Linked DNA regions of Arabidopsis thaliana. The protein of the gene in region 1 interacts with the protein of each later gene in a pairwise test. Each region holds a gene or a part of one and is shown in the gene's direction. Other genes may lie near its edges.

Evidence for each region. Proteins that work in one complex are often made in the same cells at the same time.
Region 2: the proteins of AT1G60670 (region 1) and AT5G04760 interact in a two-hybrid assay, tested with the Arabidopsis thaliana proteins (one large-scale study listed by BioGRID).
Region 3: the proteins of AT1G60670 (region 1) and MEE3 interact in a two-hybrid assay, tested with the Arabidopsis thaliana proteins (one large-scale study listed by BioGRID).

What each region holds. Positions count from the first base shown.
Region 1 is NC_003070.9:22,340,373-22,350,774, forward strand, and holds AT1G60670 (hypothetical protein (DUF3755)), read left to right. Parts: upstream 1-3,212; 5' UTR 3,213-3,568; intron 3,569-3,692; 5' UTR 3,693-3,726; coding exon 3,727-3,929; intron 3,930-4,262; coding exon 4,263-4,362; intron 4,363-5,226; coding exon 5,227-5,283; intron 5,284-5,445; coding exon 5,446-5,551; intron 5,552-5,884; coding exon 5,885-5,967; intron 5,968-6,167; coding exon 6,168-6,229; coding exon of another isoform or gene 6,230-6,263; intron 6,264-6,344; coding exon 6,345-6,441; coding exon of another isoform or gene 6,442-6,498; exon of another isoform or gene 6,499-6,674; intron 6,675-6,711; coding exon 6,712-6,768; 3' UTR 6,769-7,252; downstream 7,253-10,402. Other genes in the region: AtRZ-1b (RNA-binding (RRM/RBD/RNP motifs) family protein with retrovirus zinc finger-like domain-containing protein), read left to right, coding at 934-1,442, 1,533-1,776; CB5LP (cytochrome B5-like protein), read right to left, coding at 2,217-2,582; AT1G60680 (NAD(P)-linked oxidoreductase superfamily protein), read right to left, coding at 7,452-7,790, 7,860-7,962, 8,040-8,212, 8,302-8,505, 8,643-8,864; AT1G60690 (NAD(P)-linked oxidoreductase superfamily protein), read right to left, coding at 9,520-9,858, 9,958-10,060, 10,135-10,307.
Region 2 is NC_003076.8:1,373,030-1,378,886, reverse strand, and holds AT5G04760 (Duplicated homeodomain-like superfamily protein), read left to right. Parts: upstream 1-4,099; 5' UTR 4,100-4,357; coding exon 4,358-4,677; exon of another isoform or gene 4,678-4,807; coding exon 4,808-5,135; 3' UTR 5,136-5,357; downstream 5,358-5,857. Other genes in the region: AT5G04750 (F1F0-ATPase inhibitor protein), read right to left, coding at 5,526-5,549, 5,753-5,833.
Region 3 is NC_003071.7:9,255,692-9,261,197, forward strand, and holds MEE3 (Homeodomain-like superfamily protein), read left to right. Parts: upstream 1-3,819; 5' UTR 3,820-3,962; coding exon 3,963-4,243; intron 4,244-4,703; coding exon 4,704-4,728; 3' UTR 4,729-5,006; downstream 5,007-5,506. UniProt on the Arabidopsis thaliana protein: Probable transcription factor. Required for female gametophyte development.

The sequences.
Region 1 (10,402 bases):
TATTGACTTGTTGAAGGATGCAGTCGAGGAATTAGTAGAGCTTTCTTAGGAAGTAAACATGCATCTCAACCTCCTCTTGATCTGAAAATCTGTTTGAGAGCCGTATGTTTAGAAATGCAAGAGTTTTGAGATAGATCATGGCTCTTGTCTCAGCATCAGTGCAGTAATTTTGGTTTGACGTCACTGTGTTTTGTTGGATATTATGATTAAATTGCAGCTGAGCTCTCTTTTCAGTGGTTTTGACACCAATCAGGACTAACCATCTTTTATTCTCTTGCCTGTGGTATCTGCTTTAGTAGTCACTGAGATGGTTTTCTTGTACTCATTCATCATGAGCCACTAGTTGTTGTAATTGTAAAAGTACAGTTATTGGCACATGTAAGCATCTCTAAGTAGTCTATCAATACACCAAGATGATAAGTTTCTGGTCAAAAATGGTCTTGATCAGAATATTAGTCTTCTTTTTTAGGTCTTGATCAGAATATTAGTCTTCTTTTTTAGTGGAATTAGCATGGAAAACGCATTCCTGTGGATTTGTTGTGGGAAACTGATTTGAGGTAACAGGTCTGTTGTAAGGGTTAAAAGTATGGTTGGCTAGAGGCTAATCTCCAACATCGTTTTGCTAGGATTATTGTTGTGGTGATACTTCTTGTGGATTAGTATTTCTACAAGTATGCAGCTGTAGTTTGACTTTGTGTTGTGTGATTCTAAGGACTTGAAATGAAGTAAATTTGTGAATCTTGCTACCGTCTTCTGTTTGCTTGTAAATGTTCTGAGTTTGCCACTTCTAGGACATGCTATATGAGAGATAGGAATGTAATACATCTGCTTATTTCTTAACTCTAATGTAACATCTGGTTCTTAGTAATATATCTTGTTCCTGGCTCAATATGCATTTTAATAACATTATTGGTCTTCTTTGCGTACTTGTAGATTATGGTGGGGAGAGATACTGGGCGTCCACGTGGTTTTGGGTTTATTACATTCACTGATCGCAGAGGAGCTGATGATGCAATTAAGCACATGCATGGAAGGGAGTTGGGCAATAAGGTCATCTCCGTGAACAAAGCTGAGCCCAAAGTTGGTGGAGAAGATGTAGACCAATTAAAGAAAGGTGGAGGCTATTCATCTCGAGGGAAGGGAACCGAGGATGAGTGCTTTAAATGCAGACGCCCTGGTCATTGGGCTCGAGATTGCCCATCAACTGGTGACGATCGAGAACGGTTCAGAGTTCCCCTTGCGATGCGCTCTCGTATTGGAGACATAGATGGACACCGAGATCGCTATGGAGATCGTGATCTGGAGAGGGAGCGGGAGCGGGAGCGTGAGTTTGACCGCTACATGGATGGACGCCGTGACCGAGATGGGGGACGATATAGCTACAGGGACCGCTTCGACAGTGGAGACAAGTATGAGCCTCGTGATCACTATCCATTTGAGAGGTTTGTAGCTCTTGTCCTCAGGTCTAAATAAATGTTCCAACATGTGTTCTTTTAGGAAAGTCATGACCTTTTGATGTATTAACAATGTAGATACGCACCACCAGGAGACCGTTTTGTGAGTGATAGGTATGGGATGCCTGAACATCATCTTGAGAATGAATATCGCGGGAGAGAGAGAAGCTATGACAGGGACAGATACGCAAGGGATACAAGTGACAGATATGGAGATATGGGACCGATACGCGATGAGGGAAGACCCTACAGAAGCAGACCAGGTCCTTATGACCGTCCTAGCCGTCCTGGAGGCAGACCTTCATCATATGAACGTTGGTAGTTTGTTTTGGTTAACCAGATGTCAATGCTTATGCTTTGGGATTTAGGTCTATATCAGAGATAGAACTCGAACTCGAGATCTCTGTTATGCTTTTTTGTCGAATATTATGATTCTTCATCGCAGTAAAAAAGTTATGTTCTTATGATCCTATTGATTCCCATAAAGCAATTCAATAGATTAAACTCAAAATTGATGGATTTAAAACACTTGAGACAGAGTTAAGCATAGAACACTTGAAACAGAGCATAGCTTCACCATGAAAATTAAGAGAAAGGAGGAAACTTTGGCAATACAATGGAAGAAGAAGTGTTACACTAGCAAGACAAAAAGGTAATGCAATCTCAAATCTTCAATGAGAAGAGAATTAAAAAAGCCATCTTTAAGCTTACTTAAGAAGAAATCTCAAATCTTCAATCAAATCTCAAATCTTTAAGCTTTTACTAATGAAGTTCCCCGATGTAGAAATCTTCAATCATGTCGAAAACACGAGTGGCGTGTTGAGGTCCGAAGAAGCCATCAGTAGAATCATCACCAGCATGATCAAGAATAGCGTCACCACCAGGATGTTCTTCAACATAAGAAGTAATATCATAGACTTTATCTTTGATTATGATCCAACAATCGTTCCTTTTGTTATGTACTGCGACTTCACTCTTGCTGTAACTTTTTGGTCTTACCACATCTTCTACAGGCTCACTGCTAGATCTCTTCTTCTCTTGATTGTCGTTTGTTCTTCTTCGCTTTCCTTGGATTAAGAACAATGCTGATACTAGAAAACCCAGAAGCAATCCGATCACAGCTATCATCTTTCTCTCCTTGGAAATAGCAAAACCGGAGTGAATGACAATTGGAGAGAGTGGTGGATTAGATCCAGCTTGCTGACGAGTGACGACCCAAATTATTGAATTTAGGGTTTAGAGGGGCATAAAAGTCAAAACACAACGTTTTCATTGTCCTCATCTTCGTTAGTGGTTGTCGAGGTTTCTAACCAAAAAGCATCTCCACGTCTATGCAAAAATGAAGTTGTAGTTATTTTGGTTATTACTCGAACCTGAGACCCATGCATCTAATTTTTTTTCTCCTTCTCCCCGGCGAATCCTACTATTATCGATTAACTAATTTGATGTCTCATTTTTGTCTATGCACAAATTCAACTTGATTATTTAGGTATATAAGTAAATAAAAGATTTATCATAAAATTACACATGTAAAAGTTTGAAACAAATTTAATTATTCATAACTCACATAAGACATGTAAAAAAAAACAAAAAAAACAAATGTCACTTAGTGAAATGGATACCAAACTTTATGATTTATAATACCTTGTTGTAATTTAAATATCTGAATTTCCAAAGTGTAGGTGACTGTGTAATTCACAAAAATTGAGTAAAAGTTTAAAAAAATAAGGAGGAACAAACCATCTTTCTTCAAAGAGTGGACTAGACAAAAACAAAAAAGCAAAACCACCACAATGGAATAAAAAGTGGTTCTGTTTCTTAATAGAATAAAAACCATTACAAAACAAAACCACCATTTTCTCTCTCTCTCTCCTCGCCAGCTTCTGCAATTCGAAAGTTCTTCGCATCATCTTGCTGTCACCACTCTCTCGCGAATCGAATCACGATTCTTCAATCTTCTTCTTCTCTATTGCGATCTCTCTGAATTTTGTAGCTTCACGATTTCAGTATCTCTACTTTCATCACCAATCGTTGGGGGTTTAGGGTTTTTGCATCGACGCCATCTATCGAGCTACGGAGAAGCATACTCATCTTCTATTTTGGCTAAATCCGAGGTGGGTTTTGCTCAGGTTTTGCTCTTTTAGGTTTCTGTTGGGTTTTAATCGGATTTTTTTCCGTATGATTCTGAAATTGCTAAAACCCTAAATTGAACATGTTTTTGGGCGTGCTTCGTTGTAGGTCAACTTAATCTCTACGAAATAGCTTTTGAGTGATGATTCCGATGGATAATTATTGCGTACCGAGTACTAGCACGACCGGTTTAGTGTTTTCGGCGACTTCGAGCATGAATGCTTCTTCTGGATTTCATCTTACTGTAAATTCTCCGACTTCGGTTACTGGACTCAAACATGAAGCTTCTTTGGCTGTTGATTGGTCTGTTGAGGAACAATATATATTGGAGAAAGGTCTTTCAAAGTAAGTATTTTTGTTATTCTCCATTGTTCTTCGTTCTCTGCAAATTTTCTCACTTCGTAGCTATTATACAATGTTAGAGTAGATAAATTTTTATATGTAGATGAAGGAAAAGGTTTTGCATTTATGTTTCATATGAACTGTTATAGCTCGTGTTGTTATCTGGAATCATAAGCTGATTCAGATTCTTATAGATGTATTTTGTATCAGAAAATTTCTACGAAAGATGGCTGAGTTTTTCTCTGTGTTAGTTTCTTACCTTGCGCTGTTTTATGTTGTTTCGAGTTTGTCTTTTATTGTTTTGTTTGCCTAAAACCTTTGTCATGTCTTTTGTAGATTTAAAGATGAACCACAAGTTACAAAGTATGTAAAGATCGCAGCAACTCTACCAGATAAAAGTGTACGGGATGTAGCAATGAGATGTAAATGGATGACGGTAAGTTCCCAATGCATTGTCATTAAGTTTCATAAGTGGCTTGCAGACTTCTTATTAGTTGTTATTCAAAGAGATCTTGGTAACGTCATTTAGCTTGGGAGATGAAAAAAGGAGGAAAAACATAGTGACGCTACTTTGGGTGTATGCTTTGTTAAAGATAAAGTCCTATGGGAAAAGTTCTTTTATATTTTTTTGGCTATAAGGTAGGCTTAAAGTTCTATTGCTATATTGATGAAAAGACACCTTACCATATCATAAAGGTTGTTTAAAGTATGGTTAAGAGTGTGCAAGGAGAGTAATAACAAGTATTGCTGACGATAGATCTGGCTTTCTGTTAGCTCTGGAGTCATGTTGGAACTTGATTTGACCCTAAAGCTTGATTTGATTTCTGTAGTTACCCTGAAACTAATATCGCCAAACGAGTGATGTCAGATAGCCTTGGGCTTTTTTCGACTTTCTGAAGTTTATTTTGATATGTTACTTTTTATGAAGGATAAGATTTCTATGAGCGATGGTTAAACATTGGTTATATCCTCTGCAGTATGGCCTACACTGTAGTGTTAAGATTCATATAATAAATGGGGGAAAAAAGTTGACAGATTATAGTGCCAAATATTACCTTATTGGCTTATCCATACTATCTATCCTGTCATATTTTTTTTATGAAGTTGGGCTGAAGAAATAGATAGATTTTTTATGACTTGAGTTGTACAAGCAGATATATGACTCATACAAACATAAGTCTTGACACGGGGCCTTTTTAACATTAATAATAACTGCCAGTTTGCTATCTAATATCTTTCAACTATTTAAATTCATGACTTTTGAGTTTGTCTGGGCTAAGATTGAAATCCTTTTTTTCAGCAAAAGCGAAGAAAAGGGGAAGAACATAGTACTGGCACGAAGGTTAGTTATAGAAAGGTATGTAATGTTAGTAAATAACCAGATAACGGTTGGTGGCCTAGGTTATAGTTCGCTTTACAAGAGGTTATTGGCTACAAATGGTTTTTTGTTCAAAACAGCTACAAATTTGTTCTCCTTGAGATACCCAACACACAAGTAACTGATTTCTCCTTGATTTAGGTAGTGGATTTACCCCCAAAACTGAACATGTTCTCAACTGAGCCACAACAAAATGCTACATATGCCATGAACCATATGTGCCAGAGTGCACGCATGCCTTTTGAAGGTTAGTACTATTTGGGTAACACCGTAACAGTATTGTCGGTATTATTTCCTTCCCTCTCCTGCAAAGGTTGTAACTGTAAAGAAAGATTATTTTAGAAAGACAAACTGCATCTTGTTTGAAATCTCAATCAAATGTACTAGGCAATTTGTTGTTCATCTTGTTCATGCCTGAATATAGGCATTATCGATGTTGGAGAGTTCCTGGACTCTCTCAGTTATTGTCTCATCTCCTTAGTTGTGCCAAGAAAACTCAATCTTGTTAGCTTGATACCTTTTTCTCACCTGTCACATTTTTACGGTCTCATATATATTTTCCAAACTTTTATTCTCCTAGGTCTAAGTGATGCGGTTATGGAGCGTCTACGGCAGAATGCTCAAGCTTTCAGTCAAATCTCCTCAAACCTTTCTGTGTGCAAGGTAATTGATTTGTATCTGATCCAAATGCTAGCTGGTAGAAAAAGATTGCATTAGCAGAAAATTGACTTTAAAAAGATCGTAGAATGTATTTTTCACATGCACAATGTTTTATTCAATGCAACTTATTGTTTGGTTGGGATACATGCTGTTGTCCTTTCGTAATGGAATTCCCATCCTGACATCCTATTTTCTGCATACAGCCACAGGATAACGTCAGTCTGTTTTATATGGCAAGAAATAACATCAGTGCCATCTTGAATGAGTATGTGGATCTAATAGCATGGTTGAATCACTAATGATACATTTCCTCTGTTGTCCTTCACCTTCTCGTCTATGAAAGCTTGATTTACTATACTCTTTACTTATTATTACTGCAGCATGAAGGAGATGCCTGGGATCATCAGCCGGATGCCGCCTCTGCCTGTCTCAATTAACAATGATCTTGCAAGCAGTTTAGTGACAAGTGCCACACAGGTAAGCAATCTTGCATTTTCTCTGAACGTGGATATTCCTGAATATGTAAGGGATTAAAAACCTCAAATGCTTCCCTTACCAAATTTGCCTCTGTTTCATGAAAAAATGTCTAATCGCTTCAAATCATAGGACTTCCATAACCCCTAAAAATCGGCTTCTAGTATTTTAGGGAACTATGATCTTGTACAAGAACATTGCTTTAAATCTGGTGAATGATGGAAACACAATGTTTGATGGTAAAATATAATTTTTTATCTGTCTGTCTCTCAGCCGAGATCTTATACCATTCCCTCGAGCATCTATCTGAAGCAGGAGCCAAGAAACTGATGGGGGAGGAAACTGGATTTTGACCAATGCTAAAGGAACTAGCACAAGAAACCTCTGGTAAATGGCAGCTGTTCACCGTGACCCACATGAAAGATGATGGTTTTGTCAACTGCTAAACCTCTTGCAAAACACAGGATTGAAGAAGATGGGATCTTGTGGAACCCTTTGTGCTGTCGGCTAATATTAACAATGAACCGCAGGCTAGCCAAAAACCCCTTTTACAAATCCTTTCACGTCTCCATAACTGATTATTTTTCCGTTGCCAAAATGCTTTGGCGGTCAATCCAAGATATGAATTCGTTGCACAGATCCATGTTAAAAGTTGGTTGTATAGATTAGCTGTTTCTGTAAGGTTTTAAATGAGAGTTACTTTAAAGTTTGTATCAAGAACACATCTTTGTAAGGTTTGGTTTTCAGAGGCATTTTCATTCTTCAAATCTTATCTTCAAATCAGCTACCATATGGTATGGCTCCTCTTTTTCCATGTATTAAATTTTTCTAAATGGTTGAAAAGGTGATGTTTTAGATTTAGAGGTTGGTCGCAGTATATGAAATGCATAGAAAATTATACATTGAACACTCTGAACATCAACACAAACTCTTACATATTATTTTTGTGGGCTTACACAAGCCCTTAGCATATTAATTTTAGTAGGTTTAGCTAGAGAAACTCTCATGCGGTTTTAAGTGGCTTTCCAGGAAGACAACGGTGGAGTGTTGGAGTTCTTGAAGGTGGACATTGAGGCCATGTATCTTTCTCCTTTCACAGACTCTGGTTTGGCAAGGGAGTCGAGCTCAGATATTTCTTCAGGAGTGAGTTTTACTGACAAAGCTCTAATGTTCTGGTTGAGGTTTTCAATCTTAGTGGTTCCTGGAATGGGGCAAACATCATCTCCCTGGTGATGAACCCATGCTAAGGCTAGTTGTGCTGGAGTGCACCCTTTCTTCTCAGCCATTGCAGAAACTTTCTCAAAGAGAATCTTGTTGTGGTCTACGTTTTCTTGTTGGAATCTTGGTAGAGTCTGCAATAAAGAAACACAAATTAGTACAGTATATTAATCATGTGTTTTAATGCAAATAACAGTAGTTGCCTTTCTGAAGTCATCGTTTTCCAGATTCTCAGCAAGTTTGGGTCCTGCTGCTAAGAAGCCTCTTCCTAGAGGGCTATAAGCTACGATTCCAATCCCAAGTTCCCTGGTGAAGCATAAACGAAATGTTAACCAAACATGTAAACAAAGAGGAAAGTTATATCTGATTTTGATTCTTCACACCTGCAGATAGGAATGATATCTTCTTCCGCGTCTCTCGACCATAAGGACCATTCTATTTGCACCGCAGTTATCGGGTGAACAGCATGTGCTCTTCTGATAGTTGAAGCTGAAGCTTCTGACAGACCAATATACTTTATCTTACCCTCTTCAACTAGCTTCTTCAGTTCTCTCATCTTGGAATTCAGAGACAAAGAATCATTTTCAGAGCCAACTTGGAAACATTGAAACCATGACATGAAGCAGGATTGTGGAGGAGGCTTACAGTGATTTCGATAGGGACACGAGTATCGATTCGATGCTGATAATAAAGATCAATGCAGGCAATATCTAGCCTCTTTAAACTAGCCTCACACGCTGCCCTTACATACTCAGGATCTCCTCTTACCTCAGAAATTTCCCCCTCTACTATAAAGAATCCAAATTTGGTCGCAAGCTCCACTTTCTCCTTCACCCCATCTTTCAGAGCCTGACAAGAAAATGAATTGCAACAAACTTTCTCATACAAAATCTTGTTGTGGTCTAAGTTAGTACCATAGAATCAAGAAACAGAACAAACTAAAGTATCTTGATCACTCTTTCGAACAAAACAAGATAAACTCGAACCTTTCCGAGGAGCAACTCGTTGGTTTCAGGACCATACATGTCAGAGGTGTCAAAGAAAGTAACACCGGAGTTAATAGCATGGTGGAGGAGAGCGATGGCGTCAGTTTCCGGCTTGGGAGCACCGTATCGAGCGGAGAGGGCCATGCAGCCAAGGCCTTGCGCAGATACCTCAAGGCCTTGGCTTCCTAGCTTCATCCTCCTAACTCTGCAAGCTTCAGCCATGGATTTTATGTCACAACTCGCTTTCTCTCTTTCTCTCTTTTGTAGAGTTTAGAACTGAGTGGAGTAGTTGTTGAAGTTGGGTTGATGAGTGGTGTGATTAAAAAAACTCTCAAATTGCCTATGTCTTTTACAAAAGTGCTTTTACAAAATATCTTTCTTACATGAGATTTAACCAAAAACAAAAAACTACGTACGTGTTTAAGTGATATTTCTTCAAAGATGTGTCATCAATTTGTGTTCAGTAGTCTTCACGTAATCGATATTTGTTTTCTTTCATGGTCTTGAGTCAATGAGTAATGTCGATCTTCTTGAGTAGGCAAGGTTTGTCTTATTAGGTAGTGTTTGGTCTTCATGTTTCTATCTACAATTTGTGTCACCTATAGTTTGTCTCATTGGAAGCTTGTAGGCAGGTTCCAGATCATTGGCTCTAACTAATGGTAAAATGTTCAAATATGATGGGAGGACTCATCATTGGCATTAGCCATTAGGTGCCTAAACTCTAAACCTAAGTCAGCTGGGACGCTTAACTCATGCTGATGGCGATAGGTCACTAAGACTATACAGAGAATGGTCACCGTATATATAAGATGGGTAGAAGAAAATAACATATTCTATACATAAATCATCCTTTGGCCAGAGAAACTCTCAGACAGTTTTACACAGCATTCCAAGAAGACAATGGTGGAGTGTCGGAGTTTTTGAAGGTTGGCACTGTGGCCATGTATCTTTCTCCTTTCACAGACTCTGGTTGGGCAATGGTCTCAAGCTCAGACATCTCTTCAGGAGTGAGTTTCACTGATAAAGCTCTAATGTTCTGGTTGAGGTTTTCAATCTTAGTGGTTCCTGGAATGGGACAAACATCATCTCCCTGGTGGTGAACCCAAGCGAGGGCTAGTTGTGCGGGAGTGCACCCTTTCTTCTCAGACATTGCAGAAACTTTCTCATAGAGAATCTTGTTGTGATCCAAGTTTTCCTGTTGGAATCTTGGTAGAGCCTGCAATAATTGAGTTTATATATAAAATCATTTGATTTATCCACAGGTTATGTAAGGTTCATCAATCAAACAAGTCATCCAAAAAGCCTCTGCACTTGCCTTTCTGAAGTCATTATTGTCTAGGTTCTCAACAAGCTTAGGTCCTGATGCAAAGAAACCTCTTCCTAGAGGACTGTAAGAAACAATCCCAATTCCAAGTTCCCTGAAGAAAGGAAGACAAGACGTTACATAATTGATGGATTTATGCATCATGAAAGGATGATGAAATCTGCATACCTGCAGGTTGGGACAATTTCTTCTTCCACGTCTCTTGTCCACAAGGACCACTCTAACTGCACGGCGGTGATTGGGTGAACAGTATGCGCTCTTCTGATAGTTGAGGCAGAGGCCTCAGACAAACCTATGTACTTTATTTTACCCTCTTCAATTAGCTTCTTCAGTTCTCCCATCTTGGTATTGACAATCAAAATAAATGGTTTAAGTTTAGCAAAAGGTGCCAGCTTTCTATAAAGGTCAGGAAGTGTAAGCGAACTAGAGAGCTTAG
Region 2 (5,857 bases), on another chromosome or scaffold:
AAAGCTTACTAAACCCAAGATGCTTTATCTCTTTGGTCCAATTACAGTTACATTTATATATACTAATTATGCTAACGCTTTTATTGATTCATATACAAATCATAAACTAGTTTGGTAGTATATAGTATGTATTCACATCTAGCTAAGCTTGTAAACTATTTTTGTTGACCATAAACCACTAAAATTGGTATTTTATTAAATATCATTAGACTGCTGAGTTGTAACAGAGTGGCATTTCCTATGGTTATCTTATTTTGTTTTGTTTTTTAAAAAATAGGAAAAAAATGAATTACGGTTTTTATTGAAGAATATTCTTTTTTTTTTACTACTTATCATTAATTGTTAATAACACTCTTTATTGTTTAAATTTATAGATTTGTACTCAATTATTTATATTTAAAAAAAATATCTCAACACTATAACACCATATAAACATTCTAATAAGATATGTTTTTAAACAACATTATTAGTATATTTCAAAATGGTCAAAATATTTCGAACCTGAGAAATGAACTTTTTAATCATAAATATGTCATTGGAGAATCATTCCCACATTTTTCCTTGAAATGAGGGTCTAAAATTGATGTTATTATAGACAAAATTTTGTAATTGCGTTCCTTGTAATTGATAGGGAATTAGTACTAATTAATGAAATTAATACCATAATTGTGTCTATGACTATGATCGGTTGTTTGAAACGTAACGACTCTCTGCTTCAAAAGCTCTTCCTTACTTAGTTCCCGAGGTTATGAAACCGTCACGGACGTTAAAAAGAAAAAACTAAACAAACGGCGTTAACTTCCGTATATCATAAGACACGGTAACGACGTTACCTCTAACGGCTATGTGTGGTTTAAGATTCACACGTGTGGCAAAGAAGGTGACACGTGGGATGTTGTTTTGTTTTCAATGGATAAGCACACAGGTTTAAAGCGAAGCGTGACCAGAATTTGAGGAAATGAGTTTTTGTAATTAGTTGGTTCTTTTCGACAATCTTCTCATTTTTTATAGTTGGCAACTTGGCATTACTAGGAAAATATTATCGCATATTTGCAGCTAATTAAGGTCTTCTTCAACTGATTTTGTCTCTGCATTTAAATGTTTTAAAACGAGGACACGAATAGTTTGGTACTTAGAGGAATAAATAACCGCAAATCTTGTGTTGGTACAGTTTGTAACTTAGTAATTTGTTTTAGTGTTAGTGCCGTGTTATTTGATAGTATGTGTGAGTGGTAATATGCATGAGTGAGTTCTTGAAAAAAAAGATGAGTGATCTGTTCTCTGTGATAAGGGCAACGCAACATGTTTGCAGGTTGTATCATGATCCTGATGAGTATTCTCCATAGAGAAATCGGCATTAGACTCGACGCTTTAAGATGAAGAAGAAGCAATGGATTGACTGATTTTATTTTCATGGGTCGAACTCGGAGCCTTTGATGCTGTTCACTGAAATCCAAAATCCAAAATCACCAACACCACCAACTAACCGCATGTGTATATGTAATCCAAAATCAACACTATTTTTACCACACCAAAACTCACTATAAGGTTAATTCGAATAGAACTCATCTAACCATCTATGAAACTTGATTAAAAAGTGTTGTAGAATGATTTGTGTATGTTTATGTAAAAGTTCTATCGCTCCCAATCATACCCGTAACTGGATACACGTTGCAATTGATCTTTTTATTTTTTGGTTGGCCGCGCACTGCATTGAATTAACACTACCTTATCCAAACAAATAGTATTAAATATCTACTTCAATCGAACACTCTTAAGCCTCTCTTTGTTCACAATAATGATAATTAGATTAGTGTCAGCAACGTTGACACATATTCGTATCTACAACACACATACGCATACATTTATATATAAATTAATTTCGACAAGAATAAATTATGACTTGTATGGTCACCAATAAGTCTCACATTTTTGGGTACACAAAAGAGTAATAATGAAATAAATAAAAAAGATAATGTGGAGTGGTTTATACAGTGAGTGGGATGGTCAAATCTGAATTTTAGATAAGATGCAAAATTCAGGTTGCCTCAATCCGACCACGTCTCACACGCCCTGTGCCAGACCTGCCCATCTCTGTTTTCCCTATAGTATTTTTTTCTAATTGAAAAATACAAAAATTCCATTCTCCATATATTTGAAGTTATATAAAATCCGTGGCAAAATATGTGATTTGACTTTTGAGTGCCAATCCGATATGTGAGCCGTTTTGTAAACACAATTTTTGGTTTCAGTAAAAGCAAGATATTAGGATCTGATTTCATATATAAATTTTTGAAGATACCTTATTATATCACCCAAAAAAAAAGCTGTGTATTCAAGAAAGTGTAGTATTTTAAAAATAAATATGTAAAATGTTCATGAGTGAGACTCCCTACTAGTTTAAGATTGTCAAATTCACCTAGTTAAAGTTGGATCACTTATTTATCCATAAATAGATAACTTAAGAGATTGTCAAATTCTATTTAAAGAGTCTATCTAAAAGGCCCATTCTCTTTTTTACATAAACCAAAACCGCTCATTAACTATTTTGATCAGTCCAGTCCAATAGTTTGTGTTTTCCTTGTTTTTGGGCTACTAGCCCATACACATTTCCAAAAAAAAAAAAAAAACTTTTTTTTCCCCCTATTTTACTACATTTTTGTTAATTTAATGTTTGATTCAAAATTTACCTCACCAATTTATCCCCTCTTCTAATTTCCTTTCTATGTATTTTTTTCAATTCAGAAATTTCATACCTTCTTTTTATCATCCAATAATCGCCCCATATTTTTCATACTCACAGTTATTTTTTTTGATTTTTCTGTATTTATTTTCCCATATTTTTGAAGATAATATCAAAACTTGAAACATATGGTAGCAGATAAAAAGCTTAAAATAGCAAGAGCTTAGTAGATTTTATTTGGAAATTGGAAAGCCAGGTGACGATTAAACAAGAGGCCACGTCATGTAGATGCACCAGTCCGATGCCAAAAAGTATCCTCGCAAAACAATTGGCAGAAGACACGTGGCTCAATACTGGTGAAGAGTCGGTCTTGGCGTCTTGGTCGACTTCGTAACGTATCCACTTCATATTTGCAATCCAATTAATTTAGTAAAAAGTGTGTAAACCATTTTTAAAAACAAGTAAAGTAAACTACGTGTGAAGAAAGAAACAAGTACGGCTAAAAAAATACTAAAAAAATTAGTTGAAGTTGCTTTGTTTTCTTTTGTTGAAGGTCGTTGAGAACATAGTTTAATAAATACAATGAAACTCTTCCGATAAGATAAGACAAATTTCGGTGTTATCTTTCTCTACAGGAGTATTTAATAAAAAGTATAAATCGAACTATTTTATAACACGTTCGAAATCAAATATACTCATGTTTTCCACTTCCCACGTTTACGCTGACAATCTAACATTATGTGTTTCAACAAGTAATAATGTAACACTCACCAAGGCATGAACTGATGGAAGTGCTATGAATAGAATATGATTGATTGTAGTGTGTGTTTGGAGCTTTTACTGGTCAATACACTTAAAACAGTTGAGGATTGGATTTTTTGACTAACATTAATGACCCAACTGTCAAAAATTAGTCAAACTTTGCGGTACATAATTTAATTAACACGTCAAATGTTGGACCATCACTATAAAAAAAAATATTTGTTCATCATGAGAATCGTCCTTGGCCCAAAAAAAAATCCGAAAACATAACAAGAATTATAAGGTTAGTAAAATGAAAAAATCATAAACAGATGGAAAATCACAGATAACCATAATTACGAAAGTGAAGTTGAGAGAGGATTGGACAAAAATAGTGACAAGGAAGACGTAGACAGTGCAGTGCTGTGATTGATTCGAGAATGTGAAACCTAAATAAAACAAGTCTTTCTAGATTGCTTTTTCGTATTTTTAGGCGGTTGGTTTTTTTTTTTTTTTTTAAATAGCTACGTGTTCCCATTTTATTGGAAAAACAAAGTGGCATTTCCTTTTAAATAAAAATTTTTAAAGATAAAAAGGGAGAAACTGTAACAAACTGGTAGCAAAAAATCAGTAAGTCAGGTCAGGTGTTAACCCTAAAATTAAAATTGAAAATAAAACTGAGAGAAAGAGAGAGACAAAAGACATCCCAATTGCAGAGAAACCGTGTTGAAGTTGGTCTCTGAGCTGCTTCTTCCTTCCCTTTTTTATTTTTATTTTTCCAGCTCTTTATTTTCTTATTTACAAAAAACTTTCCCAAGAATAAAAACCAGAAGAATCCGTATAAATTATCCTAACAGTTTCTTCCAATATCCAACAAATTTCAGATTTTTGTTTTTGTTTTCTTCTTCTCTACTTGAGTAATCATCAACGATTATGGCGTCAAGTCAGTGGACGAGGTCGGAGGATAAGATGTTTGAGCAAGCTTTGGTTCTTTTTCCTGAAGGATCTCCTAATCGGTGGGAGAGAATCGCTGATCAGCTTCATAAATCTGCTGGTGAAGTTAGGGAGCATTACGAGGTCTTGGTTCATGATGTTTTCGAGATTGATTCTGGTCGAGTTGATGTCCCTGATTACATGGATGACTCGGCGGCTGCGGCGGCGGGTTGGGATTCCGCTGGTCAGATCTCTTTTGGGTCTAAACATGGCGAGAGTGAACGCAAAAGAGGAACTCCTTGGACAGAGAACGAACACAAGTATGTTTCTTTATCAATCATTTCAAAAAAATTAGGGTTTTGGTTGGTTTGAGAATTTAGGAATTAAATGCAATTTTGCTAAATTTAGGTGATTTAATTACATTGTTTGATATGAATTTTATTGATGCAGATTGTTTCTGATCGGATTAAAGAGATATGGTAAGGGAGATTGGAGGAGTATCTCGAGAAACGTTGTGGTGACGAGGACACCGACGCAAGTCGCGAGTCACGCTCAGAAGTATTTTCTGAGACAGAACTCGGTGAAGAAGGAGAGGAAAAGGTCGAGCATCCATGATATAACTACGGTTGATGCTACTTTGGCTATGCCTGGGTCTAACATGGACTGGACTGGCCAACACGGGAGTCCTGTTCAGGCGCCGCAGCAGCAACAGATTATGTCTGAGTTCGGTCAGCAATTGAATCCTGGTCATTTCGAGGATTTTGGGTTTCGGATGTGATGAAGAAAGGGGGAGACAAATTGGGATGGCTTTAGTTTAATAGGGTTTTACTCATTTTATGTGAATAGGGAAAGAAATAGGATTGGGTATTTTCTTATACAGATGATGATGATGATGATCAAAGAATAAAAATAATGTATAGGGAAGCTTTTTGTAAACACAAATATGTTTGGTAACCATTTTGGTATTTTGAATCAATGCATATGGTTGTTTTTCTCGATTATTTTAAACTTGATTTCTTACAACACACAAACACACACATCAGAAGGTTAAAGATCTCTGTACAAGTACAAGATCTCTCATACCAAGAGAGAACATAGGTCAAAGGCATTATTGTTTTTCACTACTGCTTGCCTTATGACCGGATTCTGTATACTGTGAGTGATAAACTCATGGCTTGTTTGTCTCAGGTTTCTGCACAAGAGAGTGAAAAGCAAACAGTCAACGAGCAAGTTCATTTCTTTGCTATGTTAAGTTAGATCATCATTTGCTGTGACATTAAAGCCAAATTCAGGTTCAGAAATGCGCTTCTTCTGACCACAGGGCATTTCGTACGTAAAACTGAACACTTGAATGAAAAGAGACCAATGGAAGTTGATGGTATGATGAAAGTTTACCTTGTTGGCACTTCCTTTCTCACCATCTAGCTTATCTTGCTCGAGTTTCTTCTTCTTCTCCAGTCTCTCCCTCTCCATTTTCTACAACAAAAAGATCGGTTTCTT
Region 3 (5,506 bases), on another chromosome or scaffold:
CAAACTTAAATAAAGTTACTGATTTTTTTTGTGGGTTTGGCTTGAAACTCCGTTGGACTGAAATTAATAAAAAAAATGATCCTTGAGGAAAGAAATATATCTTAGTTTCAATGTTATAGTGCTGTGTTTGTGAAACGATTAACCTTCTGTGAATTATTTTTTTGATAAAATTATAGATTTACTTGTCCCTCAAGAAGAATGTACATACAATTGTTGTCATAAATTTTTCCCCCTTAAAACATACTATTTTTAACTTGTCCCTCAAGAATAATTCTTCTTTAGTCTAAAGGTGTGTTATTGAATCATAGATATTTGTTCATTCTTTTTGCCCAAAAAGAAAAGGATATTTGTTCATTCTCTAAATTTAAAATCTACAATTGAATAAAGAAACAAATTAACAAAAAGACAATTACCAATCTCTGTTAATTAAGTTTTAACATAAATCGATGCAATAGCTTTCTAAGCAAACAAAAAAAAAAAAAAAAAAAAAAAGATAAAGACGATTCAAAAATTACACTTTACGAAGGATCAAACATAAGAGAAATATGACTCCATGGGAGTCTATCATTTATGATCCTCACTCGGAAGACGGACTATGGCATGACTCTTCCTCCCTTAAGAATTTACCACATTATGTGGATGTAAAGTTAAGTATACGTTTACATAGTTGATTATATCCATATGTTGTTAACTTAAACATTGACAAGTACTAAATTTTTACATATAGAGTCATCTATGTTTCCTAATGTAATTAACTTTACATCCACATGATTGTTATATTCCCAAATAGTTAACTACTTATACACATAGTTACTTCACTTCCTCTGTTTTCCTAATTTTCATTTTCAACCACAACTTAGATCTTATTGTAATGAGTTATCTTGTTTAGTAACAGCCAGACACAACTCAGGAGTATCAAAAACAATCAGAAGTGGTGTAAAACAGAACCAAAATAAACAATCTTTTTAGAGAACAAGCTATTATGAGCTAGTTGAACAACAACATACTTATTCCAGAAAACAGTTTTATGTATTGGATTGCTACAAATGTTAGACAAAAATCAACAAAAGCAGTGGCAGTTTACTGATAAAATCACTCTTAAAAAAAAGAACAAAAACAACAGTTCTATGGTAACAATGTCAGATGAGAAGAAGATTAAGATCAATTCTTAAAAGAAAATGATTAAGATCTTTTTCCTTATATATTCTCTCATCAACCAATAAAAACCCCTGAGCATGGAGATTCTCCATTTCCTAAGTTCTTTATTCAAAGATTCCGAGAAACAAGAAAATAAAAAGAACTCTACTGTTATAGGCTGCTACTATGGCTGATTTTGGACCAGGCTTGTGTCTGTGGATACTTTTTTCCCTCAAATGGGACTAGCTCTTATGGATTCCTGGTGATAATATGCCATTTCCTTCTTTTGCGTAAAGTTTGTCCGAATCCAATTTTGTAAAGGGATCATTCTTTTGTTGATAATAATATCTCACCACTATCCTCGAAAATCCTTCGAAAACATTTTGAGCTACAGAAACTTCCATTATAGAGTGATTACTTCAGGTTCGGGTTCTTTTCCAAGTTGCAAAAGGAGAGCAACCACTAGGAGAGGAATCAGAATACTTAGTTTTTGTTTCTTGCTAGATTTGGGGATAAGGGTTCCAAATATCAACAGTAATTTTGTAACAAATTAAAATGCTTACTCTTTTACCTTCCTTTTCATACAGATTCCTTGTAAGCTACTCCGGGTAAATTCTCAGCAATGATCACTCAAGACCTGGAGATATCAGAATAAAACCCTCAAGCGTTTACTGATGCAACTATTCATAGTGAGAAAGTAAAAATAACCATCTTGCTCAACAACAAAATAATCGACCTTATGAACTCAAGATTATCGTTTTCACAGCTAAAGAATTTACCTAAACTTATGACTTAAATGTGGGGAAAGTGTTCCTTTTTTACCATTTCAATACCTAGGCAAAGAAGGTCGCTGTGAAGCATCGTGACGATGAGAATATCAGTAGTGCCCCAATGCCTACTAGCAGAATTTCTTGGCAACTTGCAATCTATTATCTCTCTGGAATATATTGTGCCCCAAGGCCTCATTATTGTTAAGATTCTTTCTCTGTTTAAAGTTTTCCTTCTCGATAAGAAGTTTCGCCGCCCCTACCCTGAAACCAAACCATGACATCTTAGAAACAGAACCATCCATTATCATAACTAGAATAAAAATATCTTAATAATATAAGTGCTTATATTGGCATATATCCAGAAAGAGAGCAAATTAAAGTATCATAAGACCTATACACGTAAAGGAATATCATCTTACTTAGCAAAACTAATAACATTTAGTGAAATGGATAAACACTATTATCAAGAAAGATCCGAGAAGTATGGTTCTTAAATAGCTTTACTTTAAAAAGTGTGTAGACAATAACTTTATATAGTCTTGTGGTCTTTTGATAACAAACCTGATTCAATAGTGATAAGATATGAGTATGGTCCTCCATCTCCCATGGGACTTTGAATCACCTGTGTTTCCGAGAGAGGGAAAATCTTGAGACTTTAAATCAAAATGTCAACTTTATTATGAACTAAAAATCAAACAACAAGTGGATCATTAATGAACAACCTTTGTTGCATGAAAAGAAAATCTTCAAATCTTTTAAAGAATGAAACAAAATGCTCACTTTCTGAGATAAAACCAAACAACAAGTGGACCATTTATGCATGTTGTCTTTTTGCCAAGTATGTATATTATTAGTCCTATTGTGCATTATTTAGCAACCTAATTTAGTTATATGACAATAATCTATTTGCCCATCCCAACCCTGGATTCTTACCAAACAAGGTAATTAAAGTGTTCATGTGAAACATTAATGTTTGTATTTTGTAATACGACAACTTTTGGTTCCCGCCCATATTCAATAATGCAGACACTAAAGAACAGAAGAAACAATTTGAATATCCACCAAGAAAAGTGATTATTTAACAAATTAACAACCAAGAATCTACATTAGACAATATATGACCAAGAAAAACACAGTTGCCTAACTTCAAGGAGATGGACCCAACAAGCCAAGGAAAAAAAAAGGTAGGTAAACAATGTTGACGTTTATTTTTTTCAACAACAAGAAAACACAGAAAAATGTCGATGATTGTACGGAAAGATCATCAATACAGCTAGATAAATTGATATGGTTTTCATGGCAGAGAATCTCAAGGTAAAGCTCTGCCCCCACTTTTCTTTAAGAATTCTTCTTATACAAGAGAATATATGACTTATGGTGAACACACGAAAAGCTCCAACTTTGTGTTTGTGGATACAAATTAATCCTCACAATGTTTCAAAATCACTGAGATTTTTGATAAGAAGGAAATCTGATTAGTCAATGAAAATCATCTGTCAATAGAGACTTGTCCCTAACTTTCAACCAAAGACTTGTAATTTTCCGCGAGCACGTGAGCTTTGTGCTCTGATTAGAGACCAGACTGTTCCATGAATTAAGTACCATAGGTAGAGAGATTTTCCTAACTATTTATTACCTAAACTGTTTCTTTTTGACAAGAAGCTTAATCTAGAGAATGACGTCATAACCACTAATTGGGAAAGAAAAGTAAACATATTAGTTATAACATTTATAGAAAAGTGTGTCTAGGGAGCATCATATGCCAAATATGGATGGAAAAACGCAATCTTTGGTTGATTAGTTTGGATCTTTGATACTGATCTCCACAAAAAAATTTGCTCATATTCTTTTCTAGCTATAGAGACAAAGACTTAAAATTCTCTTTGTTTTGGCAAAGATATCTTTTAACAACTGGCCCTACCCCACACCAAAACCTCTTTATAAAGAGCAAGGACTCTGCGACATCTGTGCAACATATCATTTCCTCAGAATCTCTTTCTTTTCTAGGTTTATTACTACACAAAACCAAACATCATCAACTTTAGTTACTAAACAATGGCATCAGGCTCAATGTCTTCTTATGGCTCTGGCTCATGGACTGTTAAGCAGAACAAAGCCTTTGAGCGTGCTCTAGCAGTCTATGACCAAGACACTCCGGACCGTTGGCACAATGTTGCTAGAGCTGTTGGTGGTAAAACACCAGAAGAAGCTAAGAGACAGTATGACCTTCTAGTTCGTGACATCGAAAGCATCGAGAATGGTCACGTGCCATTCCCTGACTACAAGACTACTACAGGAAACAGCAACAGAGGCAGGCTGCGTGATGAGGAAAAGAGGTATATTTGTTGCAATCTAATAAGACACAATTTATGCTAATAACAAGTAATCAACTTTGTTTATCCATAATAGCCCACTATAAGATACTTCTATAGACAAGTTCTATTCCAATACCATGACAAGAAAACATAAAGGGCATGTCTGTTTCAGCATAAAGCTTGTTACTTTACAGAGATTCTCTTGACTTTCTATCATATTGAGTTATAAGAGGCTCTAAATCAGCCAAGTGTTCTCTTCTCAGTGTTCTTCAGGCTTTATCAGAACCAAAACTAAAAGCTCCCACAACAAAAAATATGCCTAGAAATAGAATCATTCCTTGTCAATATGGTATCTAATATTAATCGATTCCCAAATCTTTCCCCTAAGAAACTTCCAGAAACAAAAATAAACCCACTCATCATCATGAAACTCGAACCAACAACATTTTAACCTGTTTAACATTTTTTTTTTTTATTGCAGGATGAGAAGCATGAAGCTGCAGTGAGACAAGAAGCAACAAAACCTAACTACGTATGATCGTCAAAATAAAAGAGAATCACTTCAGAGAGATGTGTTTTTTTCAATGTCTGACGAATCAATGTTTTTTTCTTGCAATTTCTCATGTTTTTCCCTAAGAAATGGTTTTTTTTTCGAGGCAACAAAAAAAAAATAACACTCGAATTTGTTAACCAAAATCTGTATTTAGGGTTCTTCGTAATGAAAAATCCAATGTCTAAATGTTAATTATATATTACAATTATGCTTAAAACGAGTAATTCGTTCACGGACCTTGAAATCAACGAATCAATCTCTCAACCAATCTGAATCAATGTTGCTTCAAAATGGAAAAATCCAAATTCATAAATCAATTAAATATTGATCTTAACTATATATTGGAGCATCCAATAATGCAAAGTATGCGAATCGGACAAGAAGAAGTCTCGAAATCAACGAATCAATTAACCAATCTCTATTTTTAGGGTTCTTCGAAATTGGGGAATTGTTTCAATATTTAAACTCAAGTGTTGATAATTGGTGAATCACTGTTTATGGAGAATCTAACAATGTCACGGGACGAGAAGAACTCACCTCGAAAAATCTGCAATTTCTGATCGCAATCTTCAAATTCCAGCGAAATCGATGAGAGTTTCAATTTGGGAATTTCATAGATAAACCCCAAATTTCAATTTTTTTTATTTTCTGGGTAGATAATTAAAATTGGGCGGGAAATCTGATGCTTCCAAAAATAGGTCACGTGCAATTAACTAATTATACACACATAT